7 linked regions of the Neurospora crassa OR74A genome follow. The protein of the gene in region 5 interacts with the protein of the main gene of each other region in a pairwise test. Links are inferred from orthologs where the notes say so. Each region holds a gene or a part of one and is shown on either strand. Other genes may lie near its edges. The genes, in order: NCU06090, NCU00337, NCU09349, NCU06217, NCU01257, NCU09528 and NCU08121.

Region 1 (4,160 bases), on a different chromosome or scaffold from region 5:
TTAACCCCTTCCAAGCTTCCCTTGTGGAACGGAACACGGGTTGCTCCGATCATGATAAAATCGTGTAGCATCACCTAGAATTATGTCGGCTTCCAGGCGCCGTGTTAGTGCTTTGATTGCGAATAAAGTAGAGTCCGACCACCCAGCACTAACAGCACCTCATTTCACAGCTGGAATTTAACGCCTACACCGGAGAGCGCCTCGGTATCAGACAAGCAAGAAAGGGAAGCTATGCGTCTCACATCACCAATTCAAGTCACCGGACAAAAAAAGAGAAAAGACTCGGTGAGCTGATAATCACTTTTTAACTCCCTGAAGATGCTGCCTCGCTGAAGAAGAAGGGGGACCTCCAGCCCCTACCTCCTCCCTTCGCCACCACTACTAAAAGCTAGCTAAGTATAAAAGAACAAAAGACAAGGCTTGCCCAGCCTCGTACCATGTTAACCGCTTGTCGTGATCTGGTCCAGTTGTGATATGTACGTGTGATATAATCTCTTTTTCCATTCCGACCGTGCAAAGAAAAAAGAAACGAAAAACCATGAGGAAAAAAAACAAACGCCAAAAACACCACCTGTTACCCCCTTCCAGCAAGAAATATGTACGTAGCGACAAGGCAGAAGAATGGGAAAAGGATATGCCAGCCTCCCGAGCATCTGCCGCTATGCAGCAGCAGTGGTATCAACATCTCTCTCCAAAAAGACAAAACACCCCTTGCTGAACACCTTATCCGACGCTTATTTCTTCTTACCACCGAATCCGCCCTCGAATCCAGGCCTGCTCTTACCCTTGGAAGCACCTTTTCCTCCACCCTTACCGCCCTTGCCGCTCTTGACCTTGATGCCCATCTTGCGGGCCTTCTTCTCGTCCTGCTTCTTCTTGATGTTCTCCTCGCGCTTCTTTGACCTATCGTACTGGGCCTTGGCGACGCCCTCCTTGCGCTCTCTCCACTCATTGGCGCTCTTGCTCTTTGCCTTCTCCTTGCGCTTGACAGCCTTCTTGAGCAGGTGCTCGTCGTCGTGAACCTTCTCGCCCTCGGCACGCTTGCGAGCAGCGAGCCACGTCTCCTTCTCAAGGACTTCCTTGCGCTTATCTTCAGGCAAGGCCTCGAGGCGCTTCTTCTGCGCCTCAAGCTTGGCAAGCTTGGACTTGGCGTCCGTGGGGCCCTTCTTCTTGGTTCCGTCGGACTTGACAAAGGCGGCGTCACGAGAAAGCTGAACACCATCAGAGAAGGCGAGACGTCCGAAAGCAAAGTTGGTTTCAACATCGTCCTTGGGGCTGAGCATGCTTAGGGGAGAGTTGCGCGAGCTGGCAATAGCCTCTGACCGCTTCCGATCCTCCTCCTCCTTCTGCTTCTGTCTCTGCTCGCGCTTGTGGGCCTTGCGCTTGGCCTCCTTCTCGCGGCGCATCTCGATGAGTTCCTGCCTAGTGCGAATGGGCTTACCCTCGTCGTCCTTCTCAACCTTGCGAGCGGCACGGAGTTGCTCAATCTTGGCGGCGAGACGCTCGCGGAGAACCGTGGTATCGGCGGGAAGCTTGAACTTGGGCTTATCCGATGGGGGAACGGCGGAAGAGATCGAGGTGTTGGCGCTGGCAGGCTCGGCGGAACCGGCCTTGTCGCGACTGTCGAAAACAGAAGATTGAGCGGATTCCTGGGACTCGCCCTCATCCTCCTTTGTTACGAGACCAGACACATCAATGGGAGCCATATCGTCGTTCTCGTCGTCCTCGTTAGCTTCGGTAGAAGGCTTGGCTTCTTCGGCGGTGTCGTCCTTCTTTTCCGTCTTTCCACCCTTGCCTAGTTTCGCCTCGAGCTTGGCCTTCTTCTTCTCCTGCTTGGCCAGCTTTGCGAGACGCTTGGCCTCCTTTTCTTGCTCCTTCTTGCTCAAGGGCTTCTCAGCGGGGACGGCCTCCTCCTCCACCACCTCCTCCTCCTCCTCGGAAAGCTTCTGCTTTTTAGGCGCAGACTCTTCTGTCTCGGCGTCGTCTTTGACGACCCTCTTCTTCAGTCCTTCAAGAGGCTTCTCCTTCTCAACACCAGGGATTTCGACGTCGATGTCGCTGTCTTCAGTGCTGCTCTCCTCCATTTCCTGGAGCTTGCGCTTGTTGCGGGCGCGCTCCTCCATGACCTCCTTGGCGTTGCGGTTGAGTTCACTGTCGGGATCGAGCTTCCCCCGCTTAGCAGCTTTTGCCTGCTCCTTGGTTTGCTTCTTCTTCTTCCACTGATCCTGTTGGCGGGGTTACTTGGGATCAGCGACGCGATCGAAGGCATTTTGACACCAACATCAATGGTTGAGTTTATGATGAAGAGCTAAGTCAACGGGTGGGGGTAACGTACACTATTGTCCTCGCCGTAGTACATCTTGGCTGGGATCAGCGACAGTAGACCGTCAAAGGCCTGAGCGTGAGAACGCAGGCGCTCCTGTTCGCAATCGCAAGACGGCATGGTCAGCGTCGAACTCTAGCCATCCCAGTTTGGCCACAACTACCAGCCCATGGGTATCACCGTATCGGTGGTGTGCATTCCAGCGCCGGTCTGCTTACCTGCAAATCGGTATCCGCCATCTTTGCACACGCTGGTTTTCGCTTGTACGAGTCGACCTGGTTGATTGCCAGTCGCTAAAATAGAGAGACCTAGGTGATTGAGGCGACAAAGAAAGTCGAATCCGGGATTTCGCTGTGATGGGGTTGTGAGTGATGTCGAGCGGGCGGAATAATGGTCGAGGTAGTATGTCGAGGTATCGAAACGAAACCCAGATGGAAAAATTGAGACAGTGGAGGGCGGGTCGGCTGTGGTCGAGCGACTGTTTCCCGTCTCGATGAATTTTTGTTCGCCAGTGGATTACAGTGAAATTTTAGTGGATTGTTCCCAGCAGTGTGGAGCCCCCCAGCACCTTGCCCCACACTTTCACGCTTGGGGTTCTGGCATTCTGCCAAAGGCGGTGAACTGCCCTGGCACCTACTCATCGATCTTATCGCGGTTAGAGGGATACTTGCCTATTCTAGCACGCTCCCGTCTACCTCGTGTATAGTATACCTATAGGATTTATGTTTGGATCTGATGGTGACATGTCTCCTGACAGTGTCTTGACAGGTGCAACAGTGTTCCTTCATCATGGTTACCATTGTTTGTTTATTTCCTACTAAAGTGATATAGCTACCTTCTGGACAAAGGCCATCAATGAATGGCCCATCAGGGCAATGTTATCGCATAACAGGCAATAGAAGTTCTCCTCATTTACTTCAGCCTGCTCTTTCCATGATTGCCTTCTTTGCCTGATAATACTCCTGACCCATGATCTTTCCTCGTTTCCTTACAACAGACCATAGTACAATTCAAGCCCACCCATTTTCCAGGCGGGGTTTCTTCCTTACCGATACGCCGAGAGCTATGCACACCACATATCTGGCTTCTCCTAATACACTCCAGAGAGCACGAGTTGGGGGCTCACGAATACAGGTACTGCGCCAAGTTAAGTCGCGGACGAGTGGCTGCCGTGCCCAATTCGGTTTCTCCATCACTCTCAGGAATAATCTGATCCTCGCTCCCCTGAAGCGACATGTTCAGGGCTCTAACTTCAGCAAAGTCGGCCAACGGCAACGGAATGGCGGCGGGATCCACCTGGACGGAGCCGAGAGCCTCGCTCGGCTTGCTTGATTTACGTGCGCGGAGGCTGCTAGGAGGCGTGGCGCGGGGTGTAACTTGCTTCAATGCCCGGGCTCCCATGCGTTGCAACGGAGTCAACATGGGCGAGCTTGGATTCAACGATGATCTACGCACCGCAGCAGATCTCTCTTGGGTTGAGGAAGGTGTAGGCAGACCATTGACAAGGCGAGCACCGGGTTTACCTGGTTGATACGAGAATTGCCGGAGCCGAGGGCCCAGCGGCGTCTGGGATTTCACACTTTTCTTGGTGATGGCCTCTTGCGATGATGAGCCAGGAACTTCCACTTCGTCCTCGGCATCGCTGCTGGCATCAATGGTGGTACTCCTTGGCATCGCAGGAAGAGATGGCTCTTCCAAATCTTCCTGTTCCTTCTCCTGAGACACTGGTTCAGAGGACGGTGACTCCTCGACAAACTGAACCTTTCCGCTCCGACGACGAGCCTTTGACGAACTCCATACAGCATCCGGAACGCTCCGAAAAGCTTCCTCGATAGAG
Region 2 (4,203 bases), on a different chromosome or scaffold from region 5:
CGATATGACGATCGTCATCAGACAGCAAAAGATTTTTCACCTCACCAATTAAACTCGCATGAGGCTGAGGGGAAGCTACGGACATGCCTCGGTTTAATGTACAGCCGCCATGGTTCGGCAAGTCTGACCCGACTCGGTGAGACAGAGCTAGAGCAGAAAATAGAAAAGATGAAAAGAAAAGAAAAATGATGCAAAGGTCAGGATGGTCGGCTGAATGGAGGTCGAGGAGGGAAAACAGCTGATGGCCAACTGAAAGTTGGAAATGTCTTGGGAAGGTGCAGTGGAGGAGGCTCATTCTCCAAGTGTTATCACATAACAAATGCGACCGCCTGCTTTTAGATCTCCAAAGAAACTGAAGTAATACCACATTCCACTGTGATCATGATGGGTTTGGTCGACAAAAGTACCCGTTGGTATGGTGGTGGCTTTGTGTCTGCCAGCCGCCATTGAAATCACTTTCACAGCCATAAACTCGTAGATATCCAGAATCGTTTCAACAATAATAATTCTATGCCAAAGCTAACGTGTATACTCTCCAACAACCTACACCTAGAGTCTCGTAGACATAACAAGACAATCCCTTCCGACATCACCCTTTCACCAGCTATTTGATACTTTTGATGCTCTTCTCCAGTTCCTTCACACTCTCCCTCACCTTGGGGCAGTAATGTCTCCTCAACAGCTCGCCCTCCCACACCGTCGACGCGAATGGGTTGCTACCCTCCACTGTCGCCGCAAGTGGCTTATAAGTGCCGTCGCCCTTCCTCTCCTCCGTATTCCAGAGCGAGCTGATCTTCCTGCCGTGCGTGTGGAGCACGTCGGCGAGCAAGCCGAGAAGCGCCTGGGCTGACTTCTCCGGCACCTGGAGCGATCCGGACATGAGCTGCTTCGTGAAGGCGGCCAGACGGAGCGGCGCCACGGAGCGGATGTTCCAGGGCGGCAAGAGGATGCCGCTGAGACACTTGACGAGCAGGACGGTGGTGGTCTGCAAATTGATGCGGTTGTTGCGGCGCACGCTGTTTTGGAGCTGGAGCGACTGGGCGCCGAGTTCAAGATCCGGGTTAACGGAGAGAGAGAGGAGGGACTGGAAGAGGTGGGTGATGAAGAAGGAGAGATCGAGGTGAAGGTCCGAGCGGGCGTTATGGGCGTCTTGGCCCTCGAGAAGAGCAAAGGCGGTGACGGTGCAGAGGAGGGCTTCGCGGCTGGTGTCACGAACGAATTCGTGCTCGTCGTCTTCATCCTCTTCCTCTTCCTTGTTCTCGTCGTCCGACTCGTCCTCCTTGTTGGCGTCCTTTTCACTGTAGCGGATCAGGTCTTTTAGGGCCTCAAGGAGATCACCAAAAAAGTCCTGGTTAATCAGGTGGGAGTATCTGGCGAGACCTTCAAGACAGGCACCCATGAGGTTGGGAATACGCATCTTGAGGATGCGGAAGTACGAGGCGAAAACCATCTTGAGCGTTTCGGACTGCATCCGCTCTCGCTCCTCGTAGCTCACAGCTGCGTCGGCGTGGGCCATGACCTTTTCAGCCTCCTTCTGCTCCTTAAGAAGCTTGCGCTCACGCTTGGTGCGGAACTCCTTCTTCTGCTTCGGCTTCTTGACCGACCCATCGTCCTGCTTCTCCACCGTGTCTCTGGAAGCTTTTCCGGAAAACTCGCTAAGCAAACGCAGGTGGAGGAACAGGTTCAGGATGCTCTCGTCAACCTGGTAGTTACGAGCCTTCATCATCTTTGTGAGTACTGAAATGGCCTCCATGGCGGGTTGACCATCCTCATCCTCGTGAAACAGGGTCTCGAGAGCGGTCCGGCACTTGATAAAGTCTTTATCGATATTTCTGTAGCTCAGCTTCTTGATGAGAATCTTGAGAAGCTCACCGCGGAAGTTGAAGTGCGGTACTGCGTTCAAAAGGGTGCAGGCGCAGGTAAGGGCGATGCTGGAAATGGGCTGCTTGGACTTGTCGCGAATCGATCCACCGGCGAGGGCAGCAAGGGTCTTGATGTATTGGTAGTAGCCGGTCACCATGGCCTGTTCATAGACGCGTAGCCGCTTGACATCCTTGGACAGCTTCTCTTTGGCAACATCCTCCGAAGCCGGTCTTATCCTGTAGCCGGGAATGACATCCTTGTAGACGGTCATCTGGACAACAATGGCGAGCTTCTTGATGGCGAGAAGGTCCGACTCTCCAATCTTGGCGAGCGCCTTGAAAGCACCCGGATGCTCCTCTGGGTCTTCATTGAGCTGCGTTGCGATCTTGGCCATTTCCTCCTGGGCTCTCCTGATCTGTTCACGCTCGGGAATCTTGGGTGCTTCTGGCTCGGGCTGAGCCTCCTCCTCCTCAGGGGCCTCCTCCCCTTCACTCTCCAACCACTCGGCATCGCTCGCAATCTCGGCGTCTTCCTCTTCCTGCGTCACCCAGGTTCCCTCGGCAACTCTGATGGGCAGTTTCGTGGCATCGGCGACCTTCTTCTCCTTCTTCTTCTTTCCTTTCCTGGGGCGGTTCTCATAGTCCTCCTCGAGGTTCCAGCTCTGTGCACTCTTGAAGAACTGCTTTTGAATTTTGACGTCGCTGGTTGCTGCGCCGTCCGAGGACTGGCCTCCCTCGGTCAGCTTCCTCCGCTTGGAAGGATGGGAAGACATGGTGGTGGCTGGTGATGGTCTGTGCAGTTGGAGGGTTGTGAGATGATGTGAAGTGAACCTGAAACACTGAGTGTGGGCGGCTGATCGATGTGTGCTGAAGACAGACTGAAGTGAGACGGGAGCGAGCGGTGTTCTGGAGTGGAGATGGATGGGTATCGATTGTTTGTTCTTCACTGAGATGAGGAACCGCTCAGGAACATTTTCCAAACTTTTTGGACCCTGGCTGCCAAAGCTGGGGGTCTTATCGGCGGGATGTGGTTGGTTTAGCTTTCTTATCGGACCCCACCGCTTGGGGAAAAAAAAGTTGCTGAACCATGAACGGCCATCGATTGACTGCACTTTGAGTTTTGCGGTCGAGTTCAGTTGCTTGCGCTGGAGCTTCGAGTGGCCGCACCTCCTCCTCCAAGTTTGAATTCCCTTTCCTTCCATCCATCCAAATAGGAACCCACCGACGGGGCACTCTCCGAAAACATCAACCTCGTCGCAGCAAAGAGAGACCGCGGCACCTAATCTCTTTCTCGACCACTGTACACACATCCAACCTCCCGTAATCCCAGTCTCTACCCCACGATACACAATCGAGACTGCACTCTTCCCCGTCTCCCACCACGCGCCGAAAGGCCGATCGAATTCCCACTTTGCGACGCGATCGAAATATCGACGTCGACTCTCCTTGACGATAGTACCATACGATAACCATAAAGCCGAATCGTAGAAACCAACACCCAACCATGTCGTCTTTGGCCTCCCAGTTGGCCCAGATCGCTGCCAACTCGCGGTCGACCCTCAACACCAAGGTCCTCAAGGCCGCCCACTCCAAGTCCCTGATCTTCGAGCCCCGCGTTGCCGCTACCCAGACATACCCCGAGATCTACTCGATATGCCTCGAAGGCTTTGAGGAGCTGTGCAACCTTGATTCGCGCTTCACCAAGTTCACCCAGTCGCTATGGAGCCCACAAAGCCAGGAGGCCGACAGGACACAGATGAGCGCCGCTGAGAATGCCGCCCTCGATAAGCATGTCGAGGCCTTCCTCCACCTGTGCGGCAGCAGGTTGCGTCTCATGCCCACCATCAAGGCCATCGAGTGGTTGATCCGCCGGTTCCGCGTTCATGAGTTCAACACGGCTGCTCTCATCGCGACCTTCCTCCCATACCATACCATCCCGGCCTTTGTGACCTTGTTGTCCATCCTGCCCGCCAACATCCCCAAGGAGTACCGCTTCCTCGACCCCTACATCCGCTCTCTGACCGCGCCCCCTCGCGCCGCCATTGTTCAGCAAGCGACGAACCGCCCCGAGCTGCTTACCGCCATCTCCCAGTACACTCTTGACTCTTGCAAGTACCAGATGGAATACCCTGGCCTCATCTCCTTCTGGGGTGGTGTCATGGTTGAAGCCACCAACGGTCTGCTCGACAAGTACCGTTCCGGCAGGAGAAGCATCCAGATCGAGAACGACAACGCTCTCATGCAGCAGCTTGGCCCGGTCCTCAGCGATGCCATGGTCATGAAGAGCTCTCCCGGTCTCCAGATTGCCAGCTACATGGTTGTGACGATTCTGGCTGCCAAG
Region 3 (4,012 bases), on a different chromosome or scaffold from region 5:
CCAAATTACCAGCCCGATCGGCTTGAGCCGTGTCTACGCCTCCTGGGGCACCACTTGGCAGCAGAAAGACGGGGAAGTGAGATACAGAGTGTATCGAGATTTAACATAAACGTGGTTTCGATTCAAGAACCAGAAGTTCTTGTCCGATTTTATTTTATGGGATGCCTTCTGGATTGTTTCCGTGATGTCTGTCCGTGGTGTTGAGCGAGTGGTGTTGAAGAATAGGGCCATGGGACCAGATTATATCATGAACATCAACTTCCGTGCTGATACCTCCCATTGGAACCATTCTCAGCCTCAGATCGTGGAAAGATGCGACCCAAGGCAGCAGTGAGCCAAAGACCGAACCACACTTGTGACTCGGTCAACTCCATGGAAAATGATCATGTTTTCATGTAATAAAGGTGTTGTTACTTCCGACGTGACCAAGATAGCATCCCGTCAGCCTTGAGAGAATATGAAGGATTCCGAAGGGGTTCATGAAACTTCACTTCAGCCAATGTAATGATGCGAGGATATTGATCTGCCATGTGTACTGTTATGTATCGACCCAGGGGCCTCTCGGCGAGTGACACTTCCAACCCAGGGACCTGGATTCGAAGCTGACTGGTACGTTCCAATCTTGCGCCCTGTATCCCGCAGACGGGGTAAGTTTCCAGCTGCCCCGAATTATCGATTATCGATCAAGGCAACCCGTAGCCTGACTATGGACTTGTGTCAAGGCCTTCGAAGTCGTCCGCTGGACGGGAACTGCAAAGTCCACCAGGCTATTGACTGGTCTGTCTCAATCCACTAAACCTTTGGAATAGAAATGTAACATAAGAAGAATACTGCAATGCCAGGATCTCAGAGGTACTGTACAGCGTTTGAATATCCGCAGTGTAAAGCAATGCCACCATGGACGACATCCAGAGCCTAATTCCGTGAGAGGGACAACGAACATGAAAGACCGACTACACGCGGTTACGTTGAGTATATCATGTCTATGACAGACTGGAGTAATTGCAGGAGAGGTGAAAGCGTTGTGATAATAAACGAATATCAGAGAAGAAAACAACATAATGCGGATTTGAAGATAAGAGGAAATGGACAAGTTCAGTTCTCGACTCTCGCAAGCAATTGGGGGCACAATTGGCGGGTTCCGGGGTTCGGCTGATCTGCAGTCAAAAGTGGGGTCAACACTGGGACGGCTGTAGCGCACAGACCAGGTTTTCATCAGGAGAAGAGGGCAGAATTGGCAAAATTTTCACCGCCTGGTGTAATCCCTGGTTATCGAACAAGCGATAAGAAAAAAATCCCCAGCGAAAGAGAAGGCAGAGGAAGGATAACAGATTCGACTCGCTGGGAATTTGAACGGAACCATTGCGACGCCCTTTTCCCAGAGTATCGCAACCACCCACCGACAGTACCAACCCCCCCACGCCATCACGATGGCTTCCGAATTTAGCAAGAAGCGCAAGCTCAAGGACGCCAAGATTGCGACCGAAGATGGCGCCGCCACCGACAAGAAGACCAAGAAGGTGAAGAAGGACAAGAAGGAGAAGAAGGCCGCCGAAGAGGTCGTCGAGGACGCCACCCCCGAGGAGGAGAACGATGCCCAAAAGGCGGAGGAACAACAAGATGGCGACGAGGTCATCCCCACCGGCAACGGGGACAAGGAGGACAGCGACGACAAGGACGCTGAGGCCGGCGACGAACTCACAAAGACCAACGACTCCCTCATCGCCCCGTCCATCGCGACCAATGCCACCGACTTCTCCGAGCTCAACCTGTCCGACAAGACCATGAAGGCCATTGCCGAAATGGGCTTCACCAAGATGACCGAGATCCAGAGGAGAGGTATCCCGCCTCTGCTCGCCGGCAAGGACGTCCTCGGTGCGGCCAAGACCGGTTCCGGCAAGACCCTCGCCTTCCTCATTCCCGCTATCGAGATGCTCAGCTCCCTGCGCTTCAAGCCGAGAAACGGTACCGGTGCCATTGTCGTCACTCCTACCCGCGAATTGGCTCTCCAGATCTTCGGCGTCGCCCGCGAGCTCATGAAGAACCACTCCCAAACATACGGTGTCGTCATCGGCGGTGCCAACCGTCGTGCTGAGGCCGAGAAGCTGGGCAAGGGCGTCAACCTGCTCATTGCTACTCCCGGTCGTCTGCTCGATCACCTGCAAAACACTCCCTTTGTGTTCAAGAACATGCGATCGCTCATCATCGACGAGGCCGACCGTATTCTCGAGATTGGTTTCGAGGACGAAATGCGCCAGATCATCAAGATCCTGCCCAAGGAGGACCGTCAGACCATGCTCTTCTCCGCCACACAAACCACCAAGGTTGAGGATCTCGCCCGTATCTCGCTCCGTCCCGGTCCTCTTTACGTCAACGTCGATGAGGAGAAGCAGTTCAGCACGGTCGAGGGTCTGGACCAAGGCTACGTTGTCGTCGACGCCGACAAGCGCTTCCTGCTCCTCTTCTCTTTCCTCAAGAAGATGCAGAAGAAGAAGGTCATTGTCTTCTTCTCGTCCTGCAACTCGGTCAAGTACTACTCCGAACTTCTCCAGTACATCGATCTTCAGGTTCTCGATCTCCACGGCAAGCAGAAGCAGCAGAAGCGCACAAACACCTTTTTCGAATTCTGCAACGCCAAGCAGGGCACCCTCATCTGCACGGACGTTGCCGCCCGTGGTCTCGACATCCCCGCCGTTGATTGGATCGTCCAGTTCGATCCTCCTGATGACCCGCGCGACTACATTCACCGCGTCGGTCGTACCGCCCGTGGTAACAACACCAAGGGCCGTTCGCTGCTCTTCCTCCAGCCCAACGAGTTGGGTTTCCTCGCCCATCTCAAGGCCGCCAAGGTCCCCGTTGTGGAATACGACTTCCCCAAGAGCAAGATCCTCAACGTTCAGTCCCAGCTGGAGAAGCTGATCGGCCAGAACTACTACCTTAACCAGAGCGCCAAGGACGGTTACAGGTCGTATCTCCACGCCTATGCTTCGCACAGTTTGCGGTCGGTGTTTGATATCCATAAGCTTGACTTGGTTAAGGTGGCCAAGGTATGTTTTCTCTTCTCTCCCTTTTTCTTCCCCAACACCAGAACAGTCACTAACGTACTACAAAAACAGTCCTTCGGCTTCTCCACCCCTCCCAGGGTAGACATCACCCTGGCCTCCAGCATGTCGCGTGACAAGAAGCAGACGAGCAGGAGAGCGTATGGTAGCCAGCCGAAGCAGAACCGTCACTAAGCGAGGCGGGATTCGGTGTTCGTGTTGTTGTTGTTGTTGGTTAGAATACGAAAAGGGGATGATGATTTGTCAATGTTCTCTCTTAGATATCCATCGGGCATTCGGTGTGGAGCATAGTGGGTGTTTTCTTTTGTGTTGCTACTTTGCTGTTTACTTGTTGTTGTTTGCGCAAGCTGCCAAGGCGTTTTTGGTTGAAAAGTAAAACTGGAGGGCTTCAAATCAACAATTAATTTTTACTTTACGTTGCTGCTCCGTTGGTGTGGTATTTCTGATGCTGTGCCGTTCGGTCATCTCGGGTGTCTTTCCATGTGAGGATGGAACATATTATCATGCTGACAGTTTCATTTGATAAATGGTAAGAAAGACCTTGAACAAACCACATCATATCTATTTTGCTACGCAATTGGAAAGATCGTGATGTTGATATGGCTGATGGAAAGCATGGAGGTCCTGAGTGTCACTCTCTATCAAGGATCCTTTGTAGGGATTCATAATCAATACCCAAATTAGGTAGCTGACAACCGGTACCAACTCAACACTAACCTCCAACAACAAAGCATGAAACAACCCACTGATGACAGTCTACTATTTCAGAACGACCTACATCGATACCTATTCTATCTGCAGCCCCAATCGACCCCCCGAACCTGAACTACATAACAGACGGAAACTCCCCGACACAAACCAACCTAACAACTTTACCAAATTTCACCTCGTCCCCAATATCCTCCCCTTCCCCTTTCCCAATATCCTCTCCTTTCCCTTCCCATCACTTC
Region 4 (4,035 bases), on a different chromosome or scaffold from region 5:
GCGAGAAAAACAAAGCAGGCAAACAGGCGTTCTATTATATAATAATAGCATGTAGAGGGCGTACAATATTATTGAGCGTTGTCTTGGTTAAGAACTGCCAGCGAAAGAGTTCACGAGTGTCCACGGCGGAAATAGACTGAGAGGTGTTGGAAAACGCTAAGGGATTGCTTTTGATCGTGATAAAGGTATACTTAGATAGCAAACAGGAAAGGCCCTAAGAATAACATAAATGGTTTAACATTCCGGGCCAGCAGCAGAAAAACACACACTCTCTCCCTACATTAGGTAAACTCCAAGAGCCCAGGCTTATTTCTTGCCCCTAATGTTAGCCTTCTTTTTCCTCTGTTGCCTCTTTCTCGCCAGGATCTTGGTCATGAGGGCCTCCTTGACCATCTCACTCTTCTTGCCCTTCTTATCCACCTTGATATCTTCAGCCTTCACCTCCTTCGCCGGGGCGGCGCCTGCGGCCTTGGCCACCTCAGCCGGGCCCTTCTTATCCTTGCCCTTGTTCCACCCAGCAGGCTTCTCAGGCTTAGCGCCCTTCTTCCTATCCGCCTTCCTTCCAGCCTTGTATGCCTCCTTGGCCTCCTTGGATCTCTTCTTTTCCTCCATCTCCGCCTTCCTTTCCGCGGGCGTCATCGTCCTTTGCTTCTCCTCATCCTGTCTCCTCCGCTGCACCACGTTCGCGTTCTCGATCGCGAACTCGACAATCAGCCTTTGCGTCTTGCCCAGCTCGTTCTTGACGGCAAACCCGTTCAGGTAGCGCAGGCCCATGAGCGCCCAGCGGTGCGACGAGTACTCGATAAAGCCGTAGCCACGCGACTTGCCGCCACCGACCTTTTCGTCCACCTTGGTGCCCGTGGTCGTCTCGAACACGATCTTGGCCTGCTTGACGACACCCTTGCCCTTGAGCTTCCGGAGGCGCTCGTTCTCCTTGTCTTGCTCACCACCGCGCGAGTTTTCTTCCTTGGAGATGGGCGCGCGCTTGCCTTCCTTGACGTCCTTGGCGAAGCCGACGACGGCCTGGCGCGCGAGCGCCTTGAGCTCCTTGGACCCGATGTTGCGCGGCAGGTTGCGCAGCGCGAGACGGGTGAGCGACAGGTGCAGCGACGGGTTGGACTGGATCAGCTTCTTGCGCTGGTTGGCCGACGCTTCGCGCATCTTGATTTCGGCCGGGGTAAGGACCTTGAAGAGCGTAGACGAGGGTGTGATTTGGCCCTCGTTCAGGAGGTACAGGCGTCTCTTGTCCTTGTCCTTCTTACCGGCCGAGGCCTCCGCGAGACGCTCGGCTTCGTCCTTGGAGACGGCGTGGGCGACTTGAAGGATGCGCCCGTCGAGCGTGTACTTGCCCTCCGGATCGACGGTCTCGTCTTGAAGGATGGAGTGCTTGACGAGTGTGGTGGTAGGTTGATGGCGGGGGGCGCCCTTGAGGCAGGCCTTCATCTCCTCCTCGTTGAAAAAGCACACGAAACCGGTACCGGCTGGCCTGTCGGTGGCCTTGTCCTTGACAACTCGGGCGTATCTGATGCCGCCGAACTGGGTAAAGTGCGCCTTCAGCTGCTCATCGGTGGTGGTGTATGGTAGGTTGCGAATGAAGAGTGTTAGAGAGTTGTCGGTTAGCCGCTTGGGCTTCTGTTCCTCCTCCTCATCCTCCTCGTCCTCCTCGTCCTCCTCGATATCATCTTCGTCCTTGTCCTCATCGTCTTCATCCTCGTCCTCCTTGTCCTTGTCTTCGTCCTCCTCGTCTTCACTCTCGAGGTTCTCGCCTTGGCTCTTGAAGAAGTTGTAAAGATCCTTTTCCTCCTGTGTCATGCCAGCAGTCTCCTCCTCCTCTGTCTTCTTGTCCTTGGGTTCCTTAACCTTCTTGTCCTTTTTCTCCTTCTTGTCGTCTGACTTTTCGCCGTTCTGCTGGGCCCATGTCTGCTTATCCACGGCCCAGTCGACGGCCAATGGGCGGCCATCGACCTCCATGCCATTGACGGCCTCGATAGCCTTTTCGGCATTCTTGCGACCACGGAGGGTGACGAAACCGAAACCAGAGAGCTTGCCCTTATCGTTGGGCAAGTCGGCGAACCTGACCTTACCATATGGCTTGAATAGCTCGGCCAACTGCTCAGGCTTCTTGATGCTCCATGGCAGGTTGCGGATGATGAGTTTGTTGGGTTTCTGGGCCTCGGCGACGGCTTCGGCACGTTTCTGCTTCTCCTCGGCGACCTTGGACACAACGGGTCCGGTCTTCTTGGCATCACGGTGTCTGGCTTCGGCAATGTCGAGCTTCAGGCGCTTCCCTTCAAGCAGGTAGTTGTTGAGCTTGGCCTTGGCCTCGAGGGTATCCTCGGGATCGGTGAAGGTGACGAAACCATAGCCGCGCGAGGTCTTGGTCTTGGGATCGAGGACGACGGTGGCATGCTTCACAGGGAAATGTTGGGAGAAGAACTCGGTCAGAGACTCGGCGGTGGCACTTGGAGGCAGCTGTCGGATGAAGAGAGAGCGGTTGGATTCAACTCTAGCTTTCTTGCTTGGGGGGTTCTGTGCAGCAACATCGGAATCCTTGATGGCATCGGGATCAACTGGGATCTCCTCGTCCACCTCGCGTTGGCGCTTCTTGTTCCCGTCCTTGCCCATTATTGCAAGCAATCGGGTTGTTATGTTATGTGTTTGTTAGGTGGTGTTGTTGTTGAAAGAAGGGGAGAGATGAGAAAGCAGCCAAATCAAACCAAAAGTGAAGAGAACAGACCCTCTCAAGGCGCAAATGGTGGATGGGAATCGCCGAGTGCACAGCTTCCCCCAGCGACAACAGTTCTGGACCCTTCGCCCAAAGAAAAATATTCGAAGTGGAGTCCCGATAAGAGCGTACAAGGGAGCTTATCGTTTCCCTCAAGCTTGGCAGCGGGATCCTGAGCCCGTCTCTTCCACTTCCTCTCTTCGCGCGCTTCCACAATCCACACCAAAGGAAAGGCGGGGCGCACAGACCATTCAAGCTCACCAGCAGGGTCGATACGTTTTGCGACATACAGCGCAGCGAGCAGCGCGACCCCTCTGCAGCAGGTCAGACAGTCCCTCCCGCTAGGTGACGACGGGGCCGCCAGGAAATTCACAGCAGCCCACCTGCAGTGCAAAGTAAACAAAACAACCTTCATTCGCGAATAGTGTCACTTTCATTCATCCCCGGCTCCTGCTCAGTTGCAAAAGCCATCCTACGAAACCTCACATCCGTCTTTTTTTTTTGCTTGTTTTCTTATATCTTGGGCTTGGATTACTTGTACCTTTTCCATATCGCATACAAATAGAGGACTGCCGCTGTGCAGGCCCCGCTAATACCAACAGTCATTGCCGACCATGGCGCCGGGCAGATCGACGAGAGCGACACGCGGGGCGCGCCAGACCTCGGTCGTACCAGAAGCACCCTTGGATACTCCCGACAATGCGCTACGCACACAAGTCGCGACCGTCTTCGGCGACGCCCAAAAGACCACGGCATCCCATCGCAAGCTGGCCGTGACCCTGCGCAAGATACAAGAAGCATGCTGCTACGAGCCGACGAGTACGAAGAAGCCCGCCGAGGCCGACGAGTTCGAGGAAGATGACTTCAACAAGGAGTTTGTACGCTGTGTCCTGCGCGTCATGCCCATCAAGAAGAGCGAGGGAGTCGGCGAGAAGACGGTGCGCTTCATCGGTCTGTTCCTGCGGCATGCCGTCGAGAAGGATAACGAAATTCTCGGCGAGGCCGACCCGGACGCCAGCACCATGCCCGAGACACCCAGCACCCGGCTTACCGGACACTTGATGGAAACCGTTCTTCCCTTGATGATCGCCAAGGACAAGTTTGTGCGCTATCGGTCAACGCAACTCATATCTCATATCATCAACTCCCTCGACGCGATTGACGACGACCTCTTCCAGAAGCTACGGTCAAGTCTACTTAGGAGGATTCGCGACAAGGAGGCCATGGTCCGGGCACAGGCTGTGCTGGGTCTTGGACGCTTGGCTGGCAACCAGTTCGAGGGCGAACCGAATTCCGACGATAGCGACGAT
Region 5 (3,491 bases):
CGACACTCAGGCAACTCACCTTATCTTTCTGGACCCTTTCTCTCTTTTGTCGTTGATTCGACACCAAACACCCTTTGCGGACTGAGGACATCGCCGGCGGGAAACGATGCAGCAACTTCTCTTTGGTTCACACTCTTCGGCAAACGTCACCTGGGAGTCGGCGGACTCACACCTTCCAACCTCAACCTCTTCCATCTGCTGGGAGGGAGCTATTTCGCGACATGCTTCTCTCTTTTGTTGGGTGGGACTTGCACGGGCTTGGGTATGGCGCTTGGTTCACCACTCCTTTTTCTTTGCGCACTTTCTTGGAATTTTCTTGGATAGGACTGTAGAGGAGGGAAGTCTTCCTTTCTGTCTTGGCAGGGAGGGGGGACTCGCGGGATGAAATTTGTGGAGGGGGAGGACCATGTGGGGAGTTTTCACTGTATCTTTCTGATCTTGGTTTGCGGAGGGGAGGGATTGTGGGGGTGAGTTGGCTTGGTTGAAGGATTTGAAGAGTGTTAGTTCTTTTAATAAAAAAAAAACCCCGGTTGACACCATATCTTTGGATGCTCTCATGACCGTGACTACCTCTATGATTGTGAATTTCATTATCATCGTATGCCTCTTCGTAAGACTTTTCAGAGCAACTGACTTTAGTGATAAAGCTGTCAACTTGCAAATGGAACGCTTGATCGATCATCAAGGCAAGATACGCGGAGGAATGGCCTCGGCTCCGAGAAAATATACTACATCCCATTACATGTATCAGCTCGACGTCCCAGACATATTTCTGATCTGTTTCGGCCAGGTTAGGTTCGTGATGTTTGCGCGGGACAAGGCTCCTCCACTGAACGCGAAGTTTGATGTATCAGGAGACTCGTGTTGAATCACCTTGACACAGGCTGCGGGTAGCTTACGAGAAACTGGGCAGAGATACACAGGGCATGGTGATATACACTAGCAATCAATCTTGAGATCACCGAGAAAACGCAGTTCGGTGGGTGACCATCACCGTGACTACAGGCCCATTGTAACTCGTAACCTGAGGGTTGGGGTTTGATGTGCCAGATTCAGAGAGAGTGTGAAGGGCACTTCCAGGAGCTGGGCTGTGGATACCTCTATGCCGGGCGCCAAGCATCCACATTTGGGTCCGCCTCCGACCCACCAGGCTTATCTTATCGGGTAATGGCAGCCGCCATGTCAAAAAAAAGTTTCCAGAACTGCAAGCGCTGCCGCTTCTCGAGCTCATCATCCAAATCGATTGTACAGCAACCCCACATAATCACAATGCCGCGACAGTCCACCCGCACAAAAAAGCCGGCCACCAAGGCTCTTGAGGCTGAGAAGATCGAGAAGATTGTTGAAGAGAAGCCCCAGAAGGAGCAGAAGAAGCGTGGCAGAAAGCCCAAGCAGGTCGTCGAAGAAACCCCTGTAGAGGACAAGATGGATGTCGAGGAGGAGCAGAAGGCGGAAGAAACCACCACTCAGACCAAGGCCGACGAGAAACCAGAGCAACAGGAAGAGGCCGGTTCAGATTCTGAGGAGGGTAGTGACGACGAAGAGGACAACGATCTCGATCTTGATGCACTTGACGAATCCGATTCCGACTCAGAATTCGAGCGCGACCTGAACGAGAAGCAATCCGCCGCCGGCATCCAGGCAAACAAGTACCAGAAGGCCGCCGAGGAATCGAGCGACGAGGAGGAGGACGAGGATGAGATCGACATTGATGAGCTCGACGTCGACGGAGAAGAAGGAGAGGAAGTCAAGGCCATTTCGAGGGCGCGCCAGACAATAAACAACAAGCAAGGTCTCCTGACGGCGCTCAAGCGCTTCGCCCTCGACACAACCGACAAAGTCCCATTCGCCTTCCACCAGTCCATCGTTGCCAAGAAGGTGACGGAGGAGTCCATCCCCTCGATCGACGACGACCTGGCCCGCGAGCTGGCCTTCATGAACCAGGCGCTCGAGGCCGCCCGCGTCGGCCGCGCCCTCCTCCGCAAGGAGGGTGTCCCCTTCACCCGCCCTACCGACTACTTTGCCGAGACGCTGCGCAGCGACGAGACTATGGAGAAGGTCAAGGCCAAGCTTATCGAGGAGGCCACGGCCAAGAAGGCCTCGGCCGAGGCGCGCAAGCAGCGCGACCTCAAGAAGTTCGGCAAGCAGGTGCAGGTGGCCAAGCAACAGGAGCGTGCCAAGCAGAAGCGTGACACACTCGAAAAGATCAATCTTCTCAAGAAGAGTACGTGCCTCTCCTACCCTTCTCCTTCCCCTTCCCTTCTTAATTCCATAACAAGTTCTCTTCCTCTTCCTTCCCCTCCCCAACTTGATGATAACTGAAGCCAACTAACCTCCGCCTCCTTAAATAGAGCGCAAGGACGGCGGTGGCCCCACCGGCGCCAACGAAGCCGAAGACCTCTTTGACGTTGCCGTCGACAACGAGCTCAAGGGCGGCCCTGGCGGCAACAACAGCAAAAAGCGCGGCCGCGACGGCAAGGAGGGCGGCGGGCCCAACGCCAAGAGGCAACGGAAGGATGCCAAGTTTGGCTTCGGCGGCAAGAAGAAGTACGCCAAATCCAACGACGCCCTCTCGTCGGGCGACGTGAGCGGGTTCAGTGCGAGGAAGATGAAATCGGGCGGCCCAGCAGGCGGCAAGCCCAAGAAGTTCAAGCCTGCGCCTAGGCCTGGTAAGGCTAGGAGAAAGGCGGGGGCTGGAAAGAGGTGAAGTGAGTAAGCTTCACTGTGGCAGGAGCGAGAAGAAGCAGTGGAAGTGAAGAGCGGTGTCGATGCCATGATGGGTAATCTGTTTAGTTTCCAACCTAGTACAACAAAAGGTCAGCACGGCAGGTTGGTGACAAAGGTGGTAGTAGCGTGTATGAGTATACATCATCATGGGACCGGTCATACAACAAACATCATTGAAGGATTCAGATCAATTCAGTAGCCACTACCTTTACTTAGATACCTAAAGAGTTCTTTTCATGCCTTACAGTTTGATGGTGTTACCCGCTTGGCTCAAAGGTCCTTTTCTCATATCATTCATCTTGCAGAATGGCTATATCCGTTCACCCGAACAAACGGGTTCCTTACTTTCACCTTCATTCAAAGGCCCCCGATGTCGGCTCGTGAACAAAAACAAATCTCGGTCACTACAGTTTGTGAGAGTATCATCCTGTCACGGACGAGCCGCGCAAGGGCCATCGCTACTTTAAGACTAGGTACTTCAGATACACTAATACACGAGACATCCCCCTTTCACTCCTCGAACCCGCATGGTAAGGGGTTTGATGCGCAACACCATCGTAACGCCTGCTTGCTGCTATTCATCGAGACGAGCCTAAACCCAAACCCAGATTCAGACCCAAATAGACCTGGGAAGACCCATAACCACCAACGCCAGACATAGACCCGCCTTTCCTGAAGCTACAAGCAAATAGAAGAAAGAAACAACAACACAAAGAGCGGCTCATCCAATTCAACCCCACCGCTGTGTGGGATTAGGACGAAAA
Region 6 (3,437 bases), about 1.1 Mb from region 5:
TTGACAACGATAACGATTATCAATCCTCCGTCGGCGGCGGCAGCAGGTACGCGCCGCCTAGTGTGCATGATGGGGACTACGAGGATGAGCCATCGGCAAGGTTTCCCACTGCGCCCTACGGCCGAGTAGGAATCGAACGGGGGAATGTGTAAGAATGGGATTAAAAAAAACAGAAGGGTCGAGAATTCAAGTCAAGGGATATGGATGAGCTGGACTGATCGACTTTGGATCTGGAAGCGGATGCAATACCGGGTAGCTATACGCTGCAGCATGCTTAGGTCATGTACAAAGTGTCTTGGCTACCTGCTTTCTTTTTTTTTGTTATTGGGGGCTGGCTGGCACTAGACGAAACATTTTGGGCTTTTTCTTGTGTATGTATGTGTGTAGGCTTTGTTTTATGGGGTGTCGTTGGCGAGGCGTCACAGGTCCTTGTTGGTTTATCATGCATAGAAACGAGAGAGATATCTTCGTGCATCAACAATGAATCACAAAGCTCTCATATCGGCTTCATGGAATGCTTTGTATCTGTGTCATTCTTATTAAACTCTCCCATATTTGTGGAGATCTACGTAGAACATGATTCTAGGTGACAAACAAGATATGATACGATATATGTGGATGGCTCAATGGCCCTAATTCTTTTCATGTACTTTGAGAAACGCCTAAAACGCCCGTGGCCTTAATGAATAGTATGTATGCTGCACAAGAAATCCTGGTTCCCGTCCCATCATCCGTTTTGCTTTTGCTCATTACCGTTGAGCAAGGGAGCGCGAGCCGAAGTAGCTCCGTCACCTGTTTCTTTGCCAGTTCCCCATTCCACGAGAGGGTCGCCCCCTGAAGCGAAGTATGATGAGGCGACAGCGGGGAGAGTCTAACTGGCATTATACCAGTCTGAGAGAGAAAGAGAGACAAAGAGAGAAAGACAAAATCCGTTGCTCTCTTCTTTCGAGACCTGTCGAGCAGAGCCATCTCGGCTGAAGGATCAGCCGTGTTGGGTCGCTCTTTCTCCCTCCCGCCGACTCTCGTAGCCCAGCTTACAGGACGAGACTGGACATGGGTCCGGGCATTTGTCGCCAGGCTCCCTCATCTCTACCCTTATCTTCAGACCACAAACCGAGCTCACCGGTGATCCCAAGAACATCCCCTTGCAAGAAGCAGTCACATTCCAGTGATGATGAAGTTCACATCACACTCGCGCATGCAATTTGCCCCCTTCTTCCCCTCCCTCGTTTCTTCGTCCGCTTCTTTACTGCAACAAGCCAGCCTTCCTCAACCGCTTGGTAATGTCGCCCTTGGTCTGCTGCATCGGGTTTAACTTGATGTCGCGCACCATGGCAGCTACATCGTCGCCGTGCTTAGCCACTAGTCGCTGCAGCCATTCTAGCTCGCGCTCGCTCTGGTAGCGCACCGTCTTCTCCACAGGGCGCGACGCCTCCTCCTCGAGCATCCGGACCACCTCGGGCCGGCTGCTCTGGGCAATCATCTCCTGGCGGTCGTCGCTGATGCCGTGCCATTCGATATCATGGGTTGGGTTCTTGGGCTTGGGTTCCTCGGATTCGGAGTCGGACTCGATCTCGTTGAGCGGGTCGTTGAGCGGGTTGTCCGAGCGCAGGACCTTGACGATCTTGCCCGAGGCGTCACGCTCGACCTTGACCTCGCGGACCTCGAACAGGCCGCGATCGGCCGACTTGACGGCCAAAGGATCATCCTTGGTGATGCCGGCGTAGTTGGCGGCGGCGGACTTCTTGGCCATGCCGCCGGCGGCGGTGCCGAGCTTGGCGACGAGACCGAAGCGGGAGTAGTTTTGTGAGAGGGTCTCCTTCTTGTTCCTGTAGTACATCAATTTTTGCATGTCAGTACTGAATCTCCTCTCGAATATCTGGCAACAAAAAGAAGAGAAAGGTACTTACCAGGCCTTGGCAACGATGCCGCTGCCCTGGGGGTTCAAGACCTTCTTCTTGATGGTATGCGTCTGGACCTTGGCGCGAGACGAGCGCTTCTTGCGCTTCTGAAGTTCTCTGCCCATTGTTGCTGTGGTTTTCGGGAAGTAGGTACTATGTGGTGTTGCTGAAAGGACAGGAGTTCGACTGCCAAAAGATGCTGGGAAGAAGAAGGCGAAATGGGAGTAAACCAGCAAAGAACGATGACGGCGACAACAACAACGAAGGCGGAAGTTGACCAAAATTTCGGGGGAAACCACCCCAGAGAACTCGATTGAACTGGAACTGCAATGGCTCCTGTCCGATAAGAGAATTATAGTGGGGCTGTTGTCCCTTATCGACCTTACAGGTTGTTCGTTACTTGGCAAGCTTGGGTACGTTCCCTCAGTCCAGTCGCCAGCTGGCAAGAGGGCCGTAATAAAGATACAGTCCCTACTGCGTAAGTGTGTACCTAGGTAGTGTAAGTGGTGTATTGTATGTAAGCACGTACATAAATACCGCTTCCTCAGGTTCCGTTTCTAATCCTCTTGTATCTTGCTTGCCTTTATTGCCGTCACCAGTTCGTTCATCAACAATCCTTCTCCCAAGGGTGATGATGGCAACTTACCTAACGACTATTTCCTCGGAATTGGACCCTAACTTTCACGGCCATCATAGCCGCGGCTTCTTGTTCTGCTCGCAACTGGTGAGGCGCCAGCGGCCGCGCCAGTCACCACCTCACCATTGTCACCATGATCATTACCCATTGGAGATATGAACAGACTTGTAATCATTGCTAAATAACTAGCTACGCACTTTGCAAGTTTTCCGGTAGGGCAACTTGATTCCCGTCTCATCCCATCCCCAAAACACCCTCCATGGCCCCCGCCACTATCCATTCGACGCAGGCACGCGGGTCATGCCTGAAATTTCATTTCTTTTTTATTCAAATCCAACCCGCCTTCAAATGTCAGCCTTGTACTTCCAAAGACATTCGGTAGTATGCGACCTAACTGTTGACATGTTCATTTCAAGTGCCTCGGTCATCATCACCCTGCTACATGCCGGCCAATGCCCATCAGAGCCCGGAAGAACACTGCGCAGAATGGGAAGCCGTTCGACATACATAGGTGTACTGTAGTGGCCAGCCAATTGTCTTTCATGGTGTTCTAGACGTTTGCCTATACAAGTACCTAGACAGCGACCGAGGTCTTGCTTTTTCTTCCCCAACTCCTCTCTCTTCAAACGCCCAGCCCATAGTTCGCAGCAGAACTCAACATCTTACCCACCTCCCCCTCCTTCTTCAACCCCATCCAACCTCAATGCAACATGGAGATATTCAGAACTTGATGAGGGGGGCCATGCTTGGGATAGTCACCTTCCTGTTAAGTCTAGGCGTAGACTTCGTTAGCCATGAGGTTTAGTCGAAATGAGGGGGTAGTTGGATACATGTCGAGCGGGATGTGGGGAGTGGTAGCGGCGAGGAGGTATACCTCTCAGTACTTATGTACGTACTAC
Region 7 (3,227 bases), on a different chromosome or scaffold from region 5:
CCGTCGAGCGAGAACAGGATGGGCGGGCGGCCGGGCACGTTCTCGGCGTTGAGTTCGCGCCAGAGAGCCTGGAAGACGGTCCAGGCGCCGTCGGCCTCCTTGGCGCTGTTGATGAGCTGCAGCAGGGGCGAGTTGACGGGGATGATTTGCGGGAGGTCGGCGTGCGAGTAGACCGTGTTCATGCGCGATAGGACCTTTTCGTTGGCGCGCTTGAAGGATTGCAGGAGCTTGAGCGTGTAGGTGGGTTGTGTCCAGAGCGGCGAGTTTTCAATGGGGGCGTATTCGGTCACGGCCGTGGTTAGTTCTTGGGCTGTTTTTCACGTTACAAAGTCAGTATGTCAGTTATGGAGTTTGAATGGTAGGGAAAGAACAAATAGGAAAGAGACCTACCCTCGGGAATGTGCAACACCACCCAGTCGTTCATAAACGCATGCGTCATGGCCTGCAGCAGCAGCAAGCTCTTGCCCGTTACCCTGTTGCCCTCAATGACCATGCGGATCGTCTTGCCGTCGGCACCAGCCGCCTTCATCTTCTTGGTCAGGTCGACCGTCTCCTGGCGGATGAGCACCGAGGGCTGGCGGAAGATGCCCCAGCACTGCGTGGGCTTGAAGGCCTCCATGGCGCGCAGGGCGTCGACCACATCCTCGGGCAGGGCCTTGACGGAGCCGACATTGTCCTGTTTGGCCAGGTCGTTGGGGCGCAGGGTCTCGAGGCCGGGCACGGGCAGGGCATTGTTGTTGCTGAGCACAATCTTCTTGCGGTAGGCCTTGCGCTCGCCGGGCAGAGGCGGCTTGCCCGAGGATACCACGTTCTTCTTCTTGGTCTTCTTGAAGCGCAGCTTCTGGGGGCGGTTGGCGTTCTGTCGGCCTCCCGTGTTGGCGGAGGAGGCGCCCTTGGTGGCGGCGGTCGCTGTGAAGGTGAGGCTGCCACCACCGACCTGGAGCATCTGGCGGGGGACCAGGGCCACGGCCGAGGGGCGCACGAGGCACCTCAGGCAGTTGGACGCCGACATGTGTGCGGGCGGGTGGTCGGCCGGTCAGACGGTCGGTCGATCGGACTGCTGTGGGTGGTGTGTGGTGTGGTTGAAACACAGCTGAGAGCCCGTGGAAAACTACCCCGGGCAAATAATATCGTCGCAAGTCAACACAACAAACCGGGACGGGGACGGGGACCTGTGATGCCCGGGCACACGGCAAGCGGAGCGGGAGCGGGCGCGCGTTGGAAAGTTCGCAAGCTCGGACCAACTCGACCTACTTGGCGACCAGTGCCTCCAAATTCCCCGGCGCCAAGAAGTCGGTGGTTTGCCTGTTTGGGGTCTTCCAGCCAATGAGAACATCAGATTGCAATTGGCAGCGGTCCCGCACCATCTCCAAGCTCGCATCTGCCGCCTGTTACCGCCTAAATTTTCAGTAGATCCAGAACCAGCAGCACCTCTCCCGTCCTCCCAGAGAATGTGATCCCCAGTTCTGCCAACTGAACGACAAAAAAGATACCCCAAGTCACCTGTTTGTTTCCATCACCATCAACATCACCAAGGCAGCCTAACGGAATCCCACACGGCGCGCCGATAACAACCACCAACTACCTATTCATCAACCTAAACCAAACCATTCAATCAACCCGCCGCGCCCATCAGAACCAAAAAAACACCATCAAAATGTCCGACGCAACAACCACCACCACCACCACCAAACTCCCCGTCACAGTCGACAAACCCACCCCCTACACCTTCGACCTCGGCCTCCTCCTCGCCAACGACCCCAACCCCCTCCTTCTCGACCGCTCCTCCGCACTCGAACCCCAACTCGCCTCCATCGCCCGCGACGGCTGCCAATCCCTCATCAACCAACTCCTCACGGCCTGCCCCATCAGTTCCACCCCGGCGGGTGTCTTACTGTCCCTCCCGCCTCCTCAAACCCCTCTCCCGCGCGAGAAACCCGTGCCGACGCCCAAGGCCGAGACGAAATGGAGCCAGTTCGCCAAGCGCCGCGGCATCAAGCCCAAGACGCGCGAGCAGCGCCGTAACCTGCAGTATGACGAGACGACGGGCGAGTTCGGCCGCAAGTGGGGATACAAGGGCGCCAACAAGGCGGGCGAGGATGCGCCGATTATTGAGGTCAAGAAGAGCCAGGAGGAGAAGCGGATGGCGGAGGGGAAGAGTGTGAGGGGGGATAAGAGACGGGAGATTAGAGAGCGGGTGAAGAGGAATGAGCGGAAGATGAGGGCGAATGAGCGGAGGGAGAGTGGGAGGAAGAAGTGAGCGCCCTGTTTTATGGGGTGCTTGAGCAGTAGGGGTACTGGATTTCAAGAGATGGAGATGAAGAGGAAGGCGTGTGGATGGAAACATGCAAAGAAGGGAGGGAGGCCATCAAGATGAGTAACTGAAAGTGAAGTGAAGTGAGTTGATGTTGACCCGTGTATCAGCATCAGCATCAACATCAGCATCAGCATCAGCATCAGCAGGCCTCCCTTCCCTCAGCAGAGGCTATACAAGAAGGCAAGACACAAGACAGAAGACAAGAGGTCTCGTTGTTCCTTTACCTTATCTACTAGGCATTTTGGGCCTGGGCATTTCGGGCGTTCAAGGTCGTTTATATACTTAGTTACTGTACTACTGGGAGGTTTCTATTACATTACAAAGACAAAGTTATCAGATTCAAGTCGCCTTTTTTCTTTTTACCACAGACTACAACGAGATCACCCGAACTGGCGTTAATGGCTGTATCCTCATCAAAAAAAAAAAAAAAAAAAAAAAAAAAAAAAAAAAAGGCATCATCAGTAAACAAACCTTTTGAAAAGTTCCTAAACCTCTTTTTCACATGAAGCTTGCATTCGTAATTCCATTCCTGTCAGGTGTTCATCGTATGTGTTTAGGCTCAACAGAAACGCTCATGGGTCCCTTGGTAATAAGTCTGCTTCTTTCTTCTTCTTTTCTCTCATCTGTTATAATCACTTTCATTTTTCGTTCTTTTTGGTTGTTGTCATTTCTTCTTCTTCTTCTTCTTCTTCTTCTTCTTCTTCTTCTTCTTCTTCTTCTTCTTCTTCTTCTTCTTCTTCTTCTTCTTCTTCTTCTTCTTCTTCTTCTTCTTCTTCTTCTTCTTCTTCTTCTTCTTCTTCTTCTTCTTCTTCTTCTTCTTCTTCTTCTTCTTCTTCTTCTTCTTCTTCTTCTTCTTCTTCTTCTTCTTCTTCTTCTTCTTCTTCTTCTTTTCTCCTTGTTTTTCTTCTTT

Evidence for each region.
Region 1: the proteins of NCU01257 (region 5) and NCU06090 interact in binary tests that used the Saccharomyces cerevisiae proteins (3 or more experiments, as listed by UniProt). The link is inferred for Neurospora crassa OR74A from reciprocal best matches to the Saccharomyces cerevisiae genes EBP2 and RRP14.
Region 2: the proteins of NCU01257 (region 5) and NCU00337 interact in binary tests that used the Saccharomyces cerevisiae proteins (3 or more experiments, as listed by UniProt). The link is inferred for Neurospora crassa OR74A from reciprocal best matches to the Saccharomyces cerevisiae genes EBP2 and NOC3.
Region 3: the proteins of NCU01257 (region 5) and NCU09349 interact in binary tests that used the Saccharomyces cerevisiae proteins (3 or more experiments, as listed by UniProt). The link is inferred for Neurospora crassa OR74A from reciprocal best matches to the Saccharomyces cerevisiae genes EBP2 and HAS1.
Region 4: the proteins of NCU01257 (region 5) and NCU06217 interact in binary tests that used the Saccharomyces cerevisiae proteins (3 or more experiments, as listed by UniProt). The link is inferred for Neurospora crassa OR74A from reciprocal best matches to the Saccharomyces cerevisiae genes EBP2 and NOP4.
Region 6: the proteins of NCU01257 (region 5) and NCU09528 interact in binary tests that used the Saccharomyces cerevisiae proteins (3 or more experiments, as listed by UniProt). The link is inferred for Neurospora crassa OR74A from reciprocal best matches to the Saccharomyces cerevisiae genes EBP2 and NOP16.
Region 7: the proteins of NCU01257 (region 5) and NCU08121 interact in binary tests that used the Saccharomyces cerevisiae proteins (3 or more experiments, as listed by UniProt). The link is inferred for Neurospora crassa OR74A from reciprocal best matches to the Saccharomyces cerevisiae genes EBP2 and RRS1.

Annotation. Positions count from the first base shown.
Region 1 is NC_026507.1:1,847,947-1,852,106, forward strand, and holds NCU06090 (hypothetical protein), read right to left. Parts: upstream 2,801-4,160; 5' UTR 2,563-2,800; coding exon 2,542-2,562; intron 2,420-2,541; coding exon 2,336-2,419; intron 2,226-2,335; coding exon 735-2,225; 3' UTR 282-734; downstream 1-281. Other genes in the region: NCU06089 (exonuclease), read right to left, coding at 3,446-4,160. UniProt on the Saccharomyces cerevisiae protein: Involved in ribosome biogenesis and cell polarity. Required for the synthesis of both 40S and 60S ribosomal subunits and may also play some direct role in correct positioning of the mitotic spindle during mitosis.
Region 2 is NC_026503.1:3,495,407-3,499,609, reverse strand, and holds NCU00337 (nuclear export protein Noc3), read right to left. Parts: upstream 2,801-4,203; 5' UTR 2,636-2,800; coding exon 605-2,635; 3' UTR 475-604; downstream 1-474. Other genes in the region: NCU00336 (U3 small nucleolar RNA-associated protein 10), read left to right, coding at 3,367-4,203. UniProt on the Saccharomyces cerevisiae protein: Required for synthesis of 60S ribosomal subunits and the transport of pre-ribosomes from the nucleoplasm to the cytoplasm. Also required for initiation of DNA replication.
Region 3 is NC_026502.1:4,196,597-4,200,608, forward strand, and holds NCU09349 (ATP-dependent RNA helicase has-1), read left to right. Parts: upstream 1-1,287; 5' UTR 1,288-1,430; coding exon 1,431-3,047; intron 3,048-3,116; coding exon 3,117-3,236; 3' UTR 3,237-3,512; downstream 3,513-4,012. UniProt on the Saccharomyces cerevisiae protein: ATP-dependent RNA helicase involved in 40S ribosomal subunit biogenesis. Required for the processing and cleavage of 35S pre-rRNA at sites A0, A1, and A2, leading to mature 18S rRNA.
Region 4 is NC_026503.1:1,936,258-1,940,292, reverse strand, and holds NCU06217 (nucleolar protein 4), read right to left. Parts: upstream 2,801-4,035; 5' UTR 2,626-2,800; coding exon 307-2,625; 3' UTR 143-306; downstream 1-142. Other genes in the region: NCU06216 (nuclear condensin complex subunit 3), read left to right, coding at 3,340-4,035. UniProt on the Saccharomyces cerevisiae protein: Required for 60S ribosomal subunit synthesis. Probably involved in the processing of 27S rRNA to produce mature 25S rRNA.
Region 5 is NC_026505.1:3,393,320-3,396,810, reverse strand, and holds NCU01257 (hypothetical protein), read left to right. Parts: upstream 1-1,213; 5' UTR 1,214-1,269; coding exon 1,270-2,224; intron 2,225-2,351; coding exon 2,352-2,707; 3' UTR 2,708-2,991; downstream 2,992-3,491. UniProt on the Saccharomyces cerevisiae protein: Required for the processing of the 27S pre-rRNA. Probably involved in the step of the processing of the 27 SA precursor into the 27 SB intermediate.
Region 6 is NC_026505.1:4,474,525-4,477,961, forward strand, and holds NCU09528 (nucleolar protein 16), read right to left. Parts: upstream 2,196-3,437; 5' UTR 2,027-2,195; coding exon 1,911-2,026; intron 1,830-1,910; coding exon 1,247-1,829; 3' UTR 501-1,246; downstream 1-500. Other genes in the region: NCU09527 (hypothetical protein), read left to right, coding at 1-152. UniProt on the Saccharomyces cerevisiae protein: Involved in the biogenesis of the 60S ribosomal subunit.
Region 7 is NC_026501.1:344,305-347,531, forward strand, and holds NCU08121 (ribosome biogenesis protein), read left to right. Parts: upstream 1-1,463; 5' UTR 1,464-1,657; coding exon 1,658-2,260; 3' UTR 2,261-2,727; downstream 2,728-3,227. Other genes in the region: NCU08120 (mitochondrial ribosomal protein DAP3), read right to left, coding at 1-310, 391-1,012. UniProt on the Saccharomyces cerevisiae protein: Required for ribosome biogenesis.